Linked DNA regions of Alligator mississippiensis. The protein of the gene in region 1 interacts with the protein of each later gene in a pairwise test. Links are inferred from orthologs where the notes say so. Each region holds a gene or a part of one and is shown on either strand. Other genes may lie near its edges.

Region 1 (3,746 bases):
CTAGGCAACCCCCAAACAACTTCTCCACTGGGGGGGGATAGGAGTTGCCTTACCCCACCTGCAAGGGTGGGAACCGGGATGACTGAGTTCTCTGGGCTGGAGTGGGGCAGGGCTGGGGGTAACCTGGGGGTGGCTGTTAGGGCCTGAGGGTGGGAGGGGCTGGGAGTGAGTGGAGGGGCAGGATTGGCACTGGGGGGGGGGTGGCTGGGGGAAATTGAGGGATCCAGGGTGCAGGTCTGTGTATGGGGGCAGTCCCTGGACTACCAGGGGAGCAGGCTGGTTGGGCAGGATTCTGGTAGTTGGGGTGTCCCATTGGAAGTGGGGATGGGGGGGTCTCTGCAGTGTGGGGCTATCCCTGAGTGCACCTTGAGGGGGGGTTAGGAGGGAATGGGGGGCCTTAAATACAGGGGAGTGGTCCCCAGGGTGCCCGGAGGAGGTCTCAGGGTGTAAGGAGGTCCCATGGGAGGTCCATGGGAAGTTTTGGAGGGTTCCCCAGGATCTGTGTAGGAGAAAGTCCTTGGGTATTGGGGGGCTCCAGCTGTGGGGGGAGGGATCCTCAGTATGTCCTAGGGAGGGGTTCCTGGGTGCATGTGTGGGCCTGGACAACCCCTGAGAGGTTTTGGTGGGGCCAGTTATGGAGGCCCTGGTGTTAGAGGCTGGGGCCTGGGTGTGGGCAGTCTCTAGGTCTGTGCAACAGTGCCTGGGGGCCCCTGGATGCGGGCGGCTGGGCTGGCTGTGGGGAAGGGGGGTTCCTAGGAATCTCTGGTTGGGGAGCAGGGTGGACCGCGGCCCCTCAGCCCTGTAGGCTGCGGGGAAAGGGGTTGTCGCTGGCGCCGCCCTGGAGAGCGAAGTAGACGAAAGTGAGGAAAGCGGCCACGGCCCCGAACACCAGCAGCTGCAGCCACAGAGGCAGGAAGCGCCGGGGGGCGCCGGGAGTCGCTACGCCTGTGCCCGCGCCCGGCCCGCCCCTGGACCCGGGTCGGATGGAGGGGCGCGGCGCCACGCGCTGGTAGGCAGTGCTGTCCCTGAAGGGGAAAAGCGATGAGTGGGGGACCGCCCCCGCCCCGCCCCGCCCCGCCTCCCAGACCTACGCTCACCTCTCAATAGCATCCCCCCAGGGGCTGCTGGCGCCGGGCTCCTCCTTGCCCTGCGGGGAGATCCCACGGCCAGTCAACAGCGCTGCCGGCCCCGCCCCACGCCTCCCTCTACAGGCCACTCCGGGAAGAACCCTTCATTTTCATAGCCACGCCCCGGAGGGAGGGGCGCGCGGGTTCTATTTGCATCTCCGCAGATCGCTTGCATATTTGCCACGCGGGGGCTGCCGGGGGCGCTAGGGTCAATGCTGGAAATGAGGCCCCGGCGTCCCCGGAAGGGGCGGGTCGGGGCATCTTGGGCAGCCCCTGGAGTTCCTGCATTGGAAGTGGCGGCGGGTCTCTCCTCAGTGGAGGCGGCGACCCGGGACGGGAAGTGATGTATAGAGACCGGGTGTGGTTCCGTGTTCGGCGCCGCTCCCCAAGCAAGCAGCGGGGTGTACCTCCCGCATCAGGGGGGGGTCCCTGAATCGCGTGCGCCCGGCATGCGGGAGCCCGCATGCTCGTGCTCTGGGCGTGCCTGGACACCTAGGTTCTCTGGGTGTGTCCCTGGCCCGGCCCCGCCCCACCGCCCCCAGTCCCGCAGGCCCCGCCCTATGTGTCCCTCACTCACAGGCCGTAGCGGGTCGCTGTAAAGCCGGGCAGGGGGCTCCTCTGTGTAGGAGCCCTGGTAGGTATCCAGATCTGGCGAGACACACAAGGGGGCTGAGACCTGGGGCGACCGCAGCTCCTCCACCAATGGGGAACCCGAGGCCCAGCTCCCCAGCTCACCTTCGCGCCTATAGCCACGATTGGGGAGTACGGAGTGGTCTGGTGTCATGTAGGATTCCCGGATGTAGAGCCTGGAGGGACTCGGGTCTAAGGGTGTGTGGGAGGAGTTAGTCTGACCCCCAGCCCCCAAAAACCCCAACGGTGCCGCTCACTCCAGCCCTGCAGTCCCCTGCCAGAGCCCCACAGGCCCCGCTCACCCTCTGCCGGGTATCGGGCCCGAGCCCCGTCCTCGGGGTACTTGTAGAACTCTCTCATGAAGCTCTCAGTAGTGAGGGGCTCTGCAGGGGGGAGAGGGGAACAAGGGCGAATCAATCCAGGCCGGGGCTCCCCGTCTCCCCCCTCACCCGTCACTCACCTGGCGGCTCCCCCGGGCCCCCCTGCGTCGTGCGCTGCCGTTCCAACTCGTAAACCTTCTTCTCGTAGAGCTTCCGTGTGGAGCCTGGGCGAGGGGGTGGGAGGGTCAGAACCCCCATAGCCCGACCCCTCACTCCCGACCCGCAACCCCCTTCGCCCCACATCGGGACCCCAGTGGCTCCGCACCCTCATACCCACGACTGGCCCGTGCGAGATCTGGTAGCTCTTGAGTTTGGCAATGAGCTCGTTGTCCGTCAGGCCCTGGTACTGCTCCATGCTGCCCGGAAGAGGGGTGGGGGAGCTTGAACGCAGGCGTCGGGGTCTCCGGGAGCTCCGCGGGCTGGGAAGAGAGGCTACGGGGCGGGAGCAGGGGGCGCGGCGGAGCTGGCAGGGGTCTCGATCTCAGGCCGGGCCAAGCTGGAACCGCAACGACTAGGAAGTGACGGGAAGCGGGGCGGCCCCACCCCCAAACTACGTTACCCAGAGTCCCCCACGGCAGCCCGAGCGCCGCCGCAGGGAGGTGAAGCTGGGTGGGCCCGGACACCTGGGTTCTCTCCCAGCCGGGGAGCTCAGAGACGGAAGCGTGCGCAGAGCGGTGTCGGGGGCACCGCCGGACTCTAGGGCGATGTCGGGACACCCGGGCTCTCTGCGGGGTCGAGGAGCTCTGGCGTTGCGCTCCCCGCAACCGGCCGCCCCCCCGCCCGACTCACCCCGGCCCGCTTCCTCCACGCCCCACCCCCGCGCCCGCCCGCGCCCCACAGAGCAGGCGGCTCCTCGGATCCTTTCTCCCCTCTTCTTTATTCGACAGTTTTTATTCCTTTCCTCGCTCCCCTTTTCCCCTGTCTTTTTTGGTCGATACATGTCAAGGGGGCCAGGGGTCAGCCGGGGGGGGGGGGAACTTAATAATTACGTCATGATCTCCCCTACCTCATGCCCCCTGCGGGGGTGATACTGGGGTGGGGGGTTATTGGGAGGGAGGGGCCACAAACCCAAAGTCACAGTCACGGCACAAAACAGACACGGAGAAATAGAGAGCTAGGGGGTGCGGGGCGCCAGGGTTCCATCATCCCTCCCCTGCGTGCCCCACGTGTGGGCGTCTCCCCCCCGCCCCCACACTCCCGAAGGCCTGGGGGGGTACAGAAGGTTGGGGGGCCTGGGGGCAGTTGTGAGGGTCCCGATCCAGCCCCAGGCCCCCCAGGGCTGCGGGGGGGGGGGGGGGGGCAGCGGCACATCTCGACGCCCCCTGCTGGGGCTGGAGACCTGGGGAGAGAAACATGGTGATGGCAATGGTAGCCCCGCCTTTTTACCCTGTCCCATCCCCCTTCCTCCTCCAACCTGCCCTGGCCACACCTCCTTTTCCCCTGACCCCACCCCAGCCCAGCCCCTCTGTGCACTTGCCCCTAGTTACATCTGCTCTCACAGGCCCTGCCCCTGCTGAACCCACCCCATGGCCACACCCTCTCCCCCAGGCCCTGGCCACAGTGGGAGTCACTCACCAGCTACATCTGGTTGGCGAAGGCTGTTGGGGCA
Region 2 (3,746 bases), on another chromosome or scaffold:
GCTTTGTACGCTTCCTTTTAATATTAGAGCACATATTGAAACGATAAACAATGAAACGCACAAAATATTTCATCAGTGTTGTAACTGAATATTTCCTTTATTCTGAAGCAATATCAAGGGGTGACCAGTGCAAAGCAGCAACAAGACTTACTGCTGCTTTGGACATCACATTAGATGGGATTGTTACAGCTAAAACTAAGTTAACACACTATTTTGTTTTGGGGTTTTTTTTCGAAAAAAAGCATTAGATCTAAAAAATTTAAAAAAAAAGGGGGGGAGGAGGGAGGGCGACTCTTACCGTCTAAAGACTGCTGCAGGTTCCGGCTCAGCCTGAAACTGCCAGGGCAAATGCAGCAGCTGCTGAACAAAAGTTTTTAGATTTTTTTTTTTTTTCGCGCAGAAAGTCTGCAAAACTAATTTCCCACAAAATAGGGCTCAATTTCCGTTTAAGTAACTAGCTCTTGCAAATCTCATGCAATTCCTGATTTTTTTTTCCTATAGCGACTGAAATTCTTTTTTTTTTTTTAATTCTTGACACACGGACTCCAGAATTAAGACACAAATGGCAGGACCCCTGCTGATTTATTTATTTGGGGGCGGGGGTTAAGACAGAAAACGTTGCTTGTGGGTGCTCCCCCTTGCTCACGCACACGTTGGTGGGGGGGTGTACAGGTGGGCTGCGCTGGCGCGCGGCTCCACTGACTGCATCCCCTGCGAGCAGCGGCGTCTCAAACTCTCTCCGCCGTGTCTCACCTGAGACGGCGAAAAGCAGCGTGGGGAGGTATTAGCTGCAGTCAGAGAACAGGAAGATGTGAGAGAACTTGGTCCTTTTGGTGTGTGTTGGGGGGGTTGTTTTGTGGTGTTGATGGCAGCAAGTGTCTTCCACTGACCATGAGGCGCTGGTGTAACCTCCCGCAAACTCACTCCCTGGCCTCTCGGCGCCCGTTTCCCGCCCGAGCCCCGGGGCCAGCAGAGTGCGGGGAGCCCTGTGCAGCGGGGGCCACGCGCGATCGGCCCAGCGGAGCGTTATTCGCGCTGTTTGTTGCTGGTCACCCCGGGTGCGGCAGAGGGCCCGGGCCGGGGCTAAGGGGGCAGGTGTGGGGCCAGCAGGTGAGGCCGGCAGGGGCGCGGGTGCGAAGCGGGCGCCGCCTCCAGCGCGCACACAAGTTCAGGGGCGGATGCGCGCAGCAGGAGCGGAGCCGGCCCCTCCTCCCGGGGGGCGGGGGGGCGAGCAGGCGGGTGCGCGGGTCCCAGGCGGCGGCGGCGGCCCCGCCCGCGGCGGGCTGGGCCGGGCCGGGCCGGGCCGGGTCCTGTCCTGTCCTGTCCTGTCCCGCGGACGCGGGGCTGCGGGACGCGCCGGAGTTTCGGAGGGAGTTTGCACGCGGTCAGCGCGGCGCGGCTGAGCCAGCCCCCGGCTCACGTTACACGCGCCTGTATTTATAACCTCCCGGTAAGCGGCGGGTTCCCCCTCAAAGCCGCGGCGCGGGACCACCTTCCCCGCCGCTCCCGCTCCGCGACAGCCGCGCGGCGCCGGGACCTGGCCCTGGATTACCCGCGCCCCGCATGCCATGGATCACACCCTTTTCGGCTGCCTGCGCAGCCCGCACGCCGCGGCGCAGAGCCTGCACCCCTTCTCCCAGTCCTCGCTGGCCCTGCACGGACGCTCCGACCACATGTCCTACCCCGAGCTCTCCACCTCGTCCTCCTCGTGCATCATAGCGGGATACCCCGGCGAGGAGGGCATGTTCGCCAGCCAGCATCACCGCGGCCACCATCACCACCACCACCATCACCACCATCACCACCAGCAGCAGCAGCACCAGGCGCTGCAGACGAACTGGCACATCCCCCAGATGTCCTCCCCCCCGGCCGCGGCCAGGCACAGCCTGTGCCTGCAGCCCGACTCGGGCGGCCCGCCGGAGCTGGGCACCAGCCCCCCGGGGCTCTGCTCCGGCGCCTCCAGCCTGGGCACCAGCACGCCCACGGGGGCGGCCTGCGCGCCAGGGGACTACGGCAGGCAGGCTCTATCCCCGGTGGAGACGGAGAAGAGAGGCGGCAAGAGGAAAAGCGACAGCTCAGGTAAAGGCTTCCCCTTGCATTGGGGGCCGGGGGGAGAGGGTGGTTGCCTCCTGCCTGAGGGCCCCGGCGACACCCGGCTTCGGAGCGGGTCGTGCCTTGACCTTCCCTCCTGCAGCCCGTGGGGCCGGGGCATGGACACGCCGGCACGTGACAGCGCCTGACAGGCCGGGCCAGGAGGTTCCCGCAGGGCCCGGGCCCGGCGGGGGCAGCTTCCTCCTGGCGCGCTCCGCCGCCCCCCGCGGGAGCCCCGCGCCCAGCTCACCCCGGGGTCAGGGGCCGGGGCCGGGGGGCTGGCGCGGCTCCCGGCGGGAGAAGAGCTGAGGGATCGAACAGTTCACTTGGCCTATCTGGGGGGAGCCCCTTGCCCCCCTCCGCCGTCAAAAAGTAAAATCGAAAAGTTTCTCCCATAGTATCTTGGTATTGGTGAGCCGCGCAGGGAGATGGTGCTTGATCCTGGGGCTCGGCGACAAGTTTCCCCCGTGCTCAAATGCCATTCTTGTGAATGGCTCCGCCACGGTAGCAGGGCTTCTCTGGGAAGGGATGGCATTTCTAGTACACGGGGAGGAAAGAAGGTGTGTGAACACGTGCACACCCACCCTCTCTCTCCTGAGATGTGGGCACGCACACACACACACGCACACTAGTGGGACAGGCACTGTAGTAGGACATGCATTCACACTCTAGTGGGACAGATGCGTCACAGTCTGGTGAGACGCAGGAGGTAGTGGGATAGGGCAGTACACACACACACACACACACACAGAGTAGTGAGACATGCAGGAGGTAATGGGATAGGGCAGTGTGTGCAGACACTCTCTCTGTGTCTAGTGAGACAGGAAAGTGTTTCCCCCATTGGAAAGTCAGGAGCAGACAAACCAAGTTGTACACTACCAAACTTTGCAAAACCGGGCTCTGTGTTTACAAGTTGGAGAGAGTCATGGCTTCAATGCTGAACACTAGTAAATATTTGGAAAAAATCCTTTCACTTTCTCTTCTCTGGCAGCAGTTGGTTTTTCTTTATAAAACAGAGTGGTTCTCCCCCCCCCCCGCCCCCCCGTCTTTTTTTTGCTCTCCACATCATCCAGAAAGCGTTGTACCCCGACTCGCAATAAAACACTAGGTTAGTTAGTAAGCTTCTTATGCACTAGGGAATCTATTGCTTATATAAAATAAAAATATACTTCCAACTATAAAAAAGATGCTACTTATGGGCATTTATTTGGAATGACATCTATATCTTATTTTATGAAACAAATTGCATGTACTTGACCAGGTGAAAGATGTGGTGATTATTTTCACCAGTTTCTAATGAAAATAATTTTAAGCCATATGGTGCATGAGAGGAGTCTGTGAACTCATCAATTTATTTACAAAGGCAGAAAACAAGAGAGAATTCATCACTAATTTATAATGCTAGGGAAATGTTCATTACAGTTTTTCATTTATTGCAGTTTGCAATGAAAAAGCCCACACCCGTGCTGAAATCGTATCTATCTCTGAAGTCAAGGGTGTCTTTCCAATGGCTTTTGAACAGTATTGATTGAGACTTTAGTTGTGATGGCTTCAGTACAATGGTGTAATCTAGGGTTTGCTTTCTAAGGCAGTATCTGAATATAAAGCTGCAGAGTGGAGGCATAAAACTGTTTTAACCCAAATAAATATATTAA
Region 3 (3,746 bases), on another chromosome or scaffold:
ATGTATTCCAGATTCTCATTAGCATACGTTGCATTGTTTTCATAGCAAACGCTCATAATATTCTCTAAATGTTATCTTCAGTTTGGCCACTTGCTTCATACTTGCACTCAAAAAACCCCTCAAGAGTTGAAAGGTAGACAGAAGGGGAGGGGTACAGAAAATCAAATTCCTCAGCAAGCCCTTTCAGGCTCCTGTTTTTATCTCTCTTTCCCCACCATCACTTACATAACTCTTATCAGCATTGTACCTGAGAGCTACATGTTGAGCAAAGGTGGGGGCTTCAATTAAAGTGAGACAAAGAAAAATTGATTTTAGGAGCCCAAAGAAAAATGAACACAAGAAGCAATTTCATTCTATATTTTTTTGTCTTCAGGGGTTGAGAAATTGCTGACTCTGATGGAAAACCTCAAGGCAACTAATGTTTGTAAGGTGGGTTGAGGATTTTTATAATAAAACTTGCCCTCCAAAAAGCTACCTAACTATAACAGAACCAAAATAGAAGCACACATTTCTTATGCTGCCATGTTGTACTAACTAATTTCCTTTTAAATTGAAAGGGACTCCAGTGCAGTAAGATGACATCCTTTTCTTGTTTGTAAGTAGGCAAAACACATGCTTATAAACAATCAATATGTTGCTTCACAACCTCATCCATCCAACCAAGAAAATAAAGACTCAGATGATTACACTAAAAGACAAAAATCATCTTCTGGATGATTAGGTTGCACTATATGTTTGCTCCGTGCTCACATTTGTTCAGAGATGTGGTTTACCCTTAGAGTTTTTGATGTTCCTGTAATATCCCTAATTCTAATCTCATTTTCTAATCCTGCTCCACCAGGGCCTCTCTGAAACATTACTGGGGTGAACTTTCATTCGGAGAAGTTATCAAATGCAAAAACCCATCATTTCGATACAGCTTTCTTGCTCCTGCCTCAACGTCATCCTACTTTGGACCTCCTCTCTCATGCTCACTTGTGTACACACACGCACAGACACTTTCACAGCACAGCAGGCTGGTGCTGGGGCTGGTGAACAGCTGCACAGGCTCTGAAGTAGACAGACAGATGAGGCCTGTGCTAACACCCTGGACCTAAACATCCTGAAAACCTGAAAGCAACAACTGGACGTGGCTGTGAACAACGCATCTTTGGGACAAAACGTATAGAAATGTCCCTGCTCCCTAGTTCGTCAGCCAAGGGCAGAAATCTCTTTCTCTGCCGGTATCTTCCCACGGTTAAAAAGTGTCTCACCCAAGGCCGGAATTAGGGTGCTGAGCCCTGCACATCCTGTGTGAGCCTTACGTGCTGGGAAGCCGCCCATTACAGACAGCGCCGTTGCCTTCCTGCCTTCCTTGCAGAACCTCCCAACTATGCATCCTGAGCCTTTTCTTTTTAATTCTCTTGGATTTAACACAGATCCCCTTTAGAGCAAGAAAGGAGCAGAAAGAAAGGTGCGGTCCGTTACTCACCGAGCAAGCTGCTGAGGCCTCTCTGACAAGCTACCGGTTTTGTTTTCTTCCGCTACCACCCCAAGTCAACCATCCCCTGTTAATTAGCATGCCCTTTATCTCCCCTTTGCATGCTGTGGCACTCCTCCCTCCAAGGGAAATGAATGAAAGGAAACCCCAACTTGCTGTTAAGTTACAACTTCCCGCGCCAATAATGTGGGCTGAGACAGACATACGTTATCGGTTTCTCCTGTGTCAGGGCTCATTGCTGTTCATCCACAAAGAGCCGTAGAAGTGAAGGTCTTACCTGTGTTTGCGATGGGAGCCCAGAGGTAGACGCACCAAATCACTGATCTTCTCCCCAACCTCTGTTAAGCTTCAAGGCAGAAAGAGAAGGTTGGATATTGGGTTATGGGGCATTAACTGACATCTTCATTCCAGCGACTTCATTGTGCTGCCATTTTTTTTTTTTTTAATAAAACAGGAAATGTGCTAAGCCACAATGCTTATCCCCAGTTCCTGTCTCGTTAGTCTGTGACATGGTACAGAAAGCTAGCAGGCAACTTGAAGCCCAGTTCAGTATGGTGGTTTGGGTATCTTGAGATGTAAGAAGTCTGGACTTTTGCTATCACCAGCCACCGTTATCCCTCACTGCACATGGAAGCGGTGCATGGATCCAGGAAGCTATGCCCACAGCACAGCAGGTCTTTTATTATGCTTGCTGATTCCTGCCAATTCCAAGGGGCCTGGGGTTAGGTAATTCCACCCAGGGTATAAGAGCAGTTGGTGTGAATGGAGCAGCCCTGGAAGAAATCCCTCGGACAAGCTTAGCTCGGGTGACATGGCTCAGCTCTGTGTTACATTGCTTCCATTTTATCTGCCGATGAAACAGCTGCCTTGGGAAGAGGGAGGTGTTTGTACGCTAATCCAGTGTACAGGTGCATGTGTATGCTGTGCTAGAACATGGCAAAGATGCAGCACTTGTAGGGTACATTTGTGTGATTAACCATTTGGCCGTTAATGAAAGAATGCCTTCAAAAAGGTCCTGATGCAAAGCTCCTTGAATTCAGTGGAAAGAACCTAACTAACCTGAATTGGGCCCGAAAAGAATAAACAAGTCTCTTTCAGATTTCTGTATTTCAGGTAGACTCCCCTTCAGTTCTTCATGTGTCCTTGGAAAATACTTTATTATGCCAGCTTAGCTTTAATTTACACCTTGTCTCAATTTCTCCTCTTCTTTTATTTTTTTTTTAAACTCCAACTGAGATGTTATAAAATGTAAACAGCAGAGACAAAAAGAACATGCACATGGCATGTGATCCAATACCATAGTTAATGATGCTGTTTAGATACTTAGCGCTGTTGAGTTTTAGGACTCCCTCCTAACTTCAGTGATGGATAATGTGACCCCTAAAACTTTCAATGTCCTCAGCTCCCATTGAAATCACTGGGAACTCAATGTTTGGCTTGCAGAGAGTTGTGGGTGGTTGTATAACTCGGAACTGATCCCAGTCCCTCCAAATGCTATTATCTGCATTAAGCAATGCTATTAGCTCTTGCAAGAGGTCACTTTGGGTAAGTATATAAAGCTAAGCAAAATACAGCCCAGTCCCTGTTGAGGGCACCTATGCGTTGCCTCGGTGGAAGCAAGTAGTAATAATGGTATCAGTTCAGTAGGAAAGGATGCTGTGGGGCCTGGTTCTGCTCTCGCTGGAACAGAGGAAGAGGAGAACCAGGCCCTATGTTAAAGGGAGTTCATCTTGGGTTTTCCTAACATGTTGAAAATAGATGTCTTACTTAGTGGCTCTTCTTGGGACTCTGTGTGATCAGGAGCCTAGAGATTTAGTACTAAAAATCATGAGGGCTGTTGGAAGAGCAGGAGGCATGTTGGGGGCTGCAATGCTTTGGAGCGGGCAATGGCCACCTCCTCCTTCCAAGAGGAGATCCAAACCCATCCACTGTTAGTTGTGCCCTCTCAGCCAGGGAAATGATTTTGCTGCTTTAAGGAAGCCTCATCTCCAGAGAGGAAATGAAGGCGGGTGGGAGGAAGAGTTGAGAGTAGTCAGTATTGTCTCAGTGGTGTAGGTGCCTAAGTCACTTGGAAAGTCAGAGGCATTTCTAACTTCTAAGGACATGACTACGCAGCAGCCCGTGAGCTTGCGGGCACATGCGTTAAGCCTATGCAGGGGCTGACTGCCCAGCCACGTGAATATGTCTGTATGCGGGTGCAGTTGCATGGGGATGATGCTGGGGTCTACGAGGGCACGTGCTGGCATGCTTAGAGCAGGAGCTGCGC

What was found.
Region 2: the proteins of EMD (region 1) and MEOX2 interact in binary tests that used the Homo sapiens proteins (3 or more experiments, as listed by UniProt). The two-hybrid records come from large-scale screens. The link is inferred for Alligator mississippiensis from reciprocal best matches to the Homo sapiens genes EMD and MEOX2.
Region 3: the proteins of EMD (region 1) and TRAF3IP3 interact in binary tests that used the Homo sapiens proteins (3 or more experiments, as listed by UniProt). The two-hybrid records come from large-scale screens. The link is inferred for Alligator mississippiensis from reciprocal best matches to the Homo sapiens genes EMD and TRAF3IP3.

What each region holds. Positions count from the first base shown.
Region 1 is NC_081831.1:28,900,205-28,903,950, reverse strand, and holds the start of EMD (emerin), read right to left. Parts: upstream 2,592-3,746; 5' UTR 2,493-2,591; coding exon 2,411-2,492; intron 2,302-2,410; coding exon 2,218-2,301; intron 2,141-2,217; coding exon 2,060-2,140; intron 1,950-2,059; coding exon 1,863-1,949; intron 1,776-1,862; coding exon 1,705-1,775; intron 1,148-1,704; coding exon 1,098-1,147; intron 1,026-1,097; coding exon 794-1,025; coding exon of another isoform or gene 753-793; 3' UTR 1-752. Other genes in the region: SYP (synaptophysin), read right to left, coding at 3,716-3,746. UniProt on the Homo sapiens protein: Stabilizes and promotes the formation of a nuclear actin cortical network. Stimulates actin polymerization in vitro by binding and stabilizing the pointed end of growing filaments. Inhibits beta-catenin activity by preventing its accumulation in the nucleus.
Region 2 is NC_081828.1:164,604,072-164,607,817, forward strand, and holds the start of MEOX2 (homeobox protein MOX-2), read left to right. Parts: upstream 1-1,262; 5' UTR 1,263-1,568; coding exon 1,569-2,079; intron 2,080-3,746. UniProt on the Homo sapiens protein: Mesodermal transcription factor that plays a key role in somitogenesis and somitogenesis and limb muscle differentiation. Required during limb development for normal appendicular muscle formation and for the normal regulation of myogenic genes.
Region 3 is NC_081837.1:43,724,122-43,727,867, reverse strand, and holds the start of TRAF3IP3 (TRAF3-interacting JNK-activating modulator), read right to left. Parts: upstream 2,551-3,746; 5' UTR 1,472-2,550; exon of another isoform or gene 842-1,471; intron 430-841; exon of another isoform or gene 1-429. UniProt on the Homo sapiens protein: Adapter protein that plays essential roles in both innate and adaptive immunity. Plays a crucial role in the regulation of thymocyte development.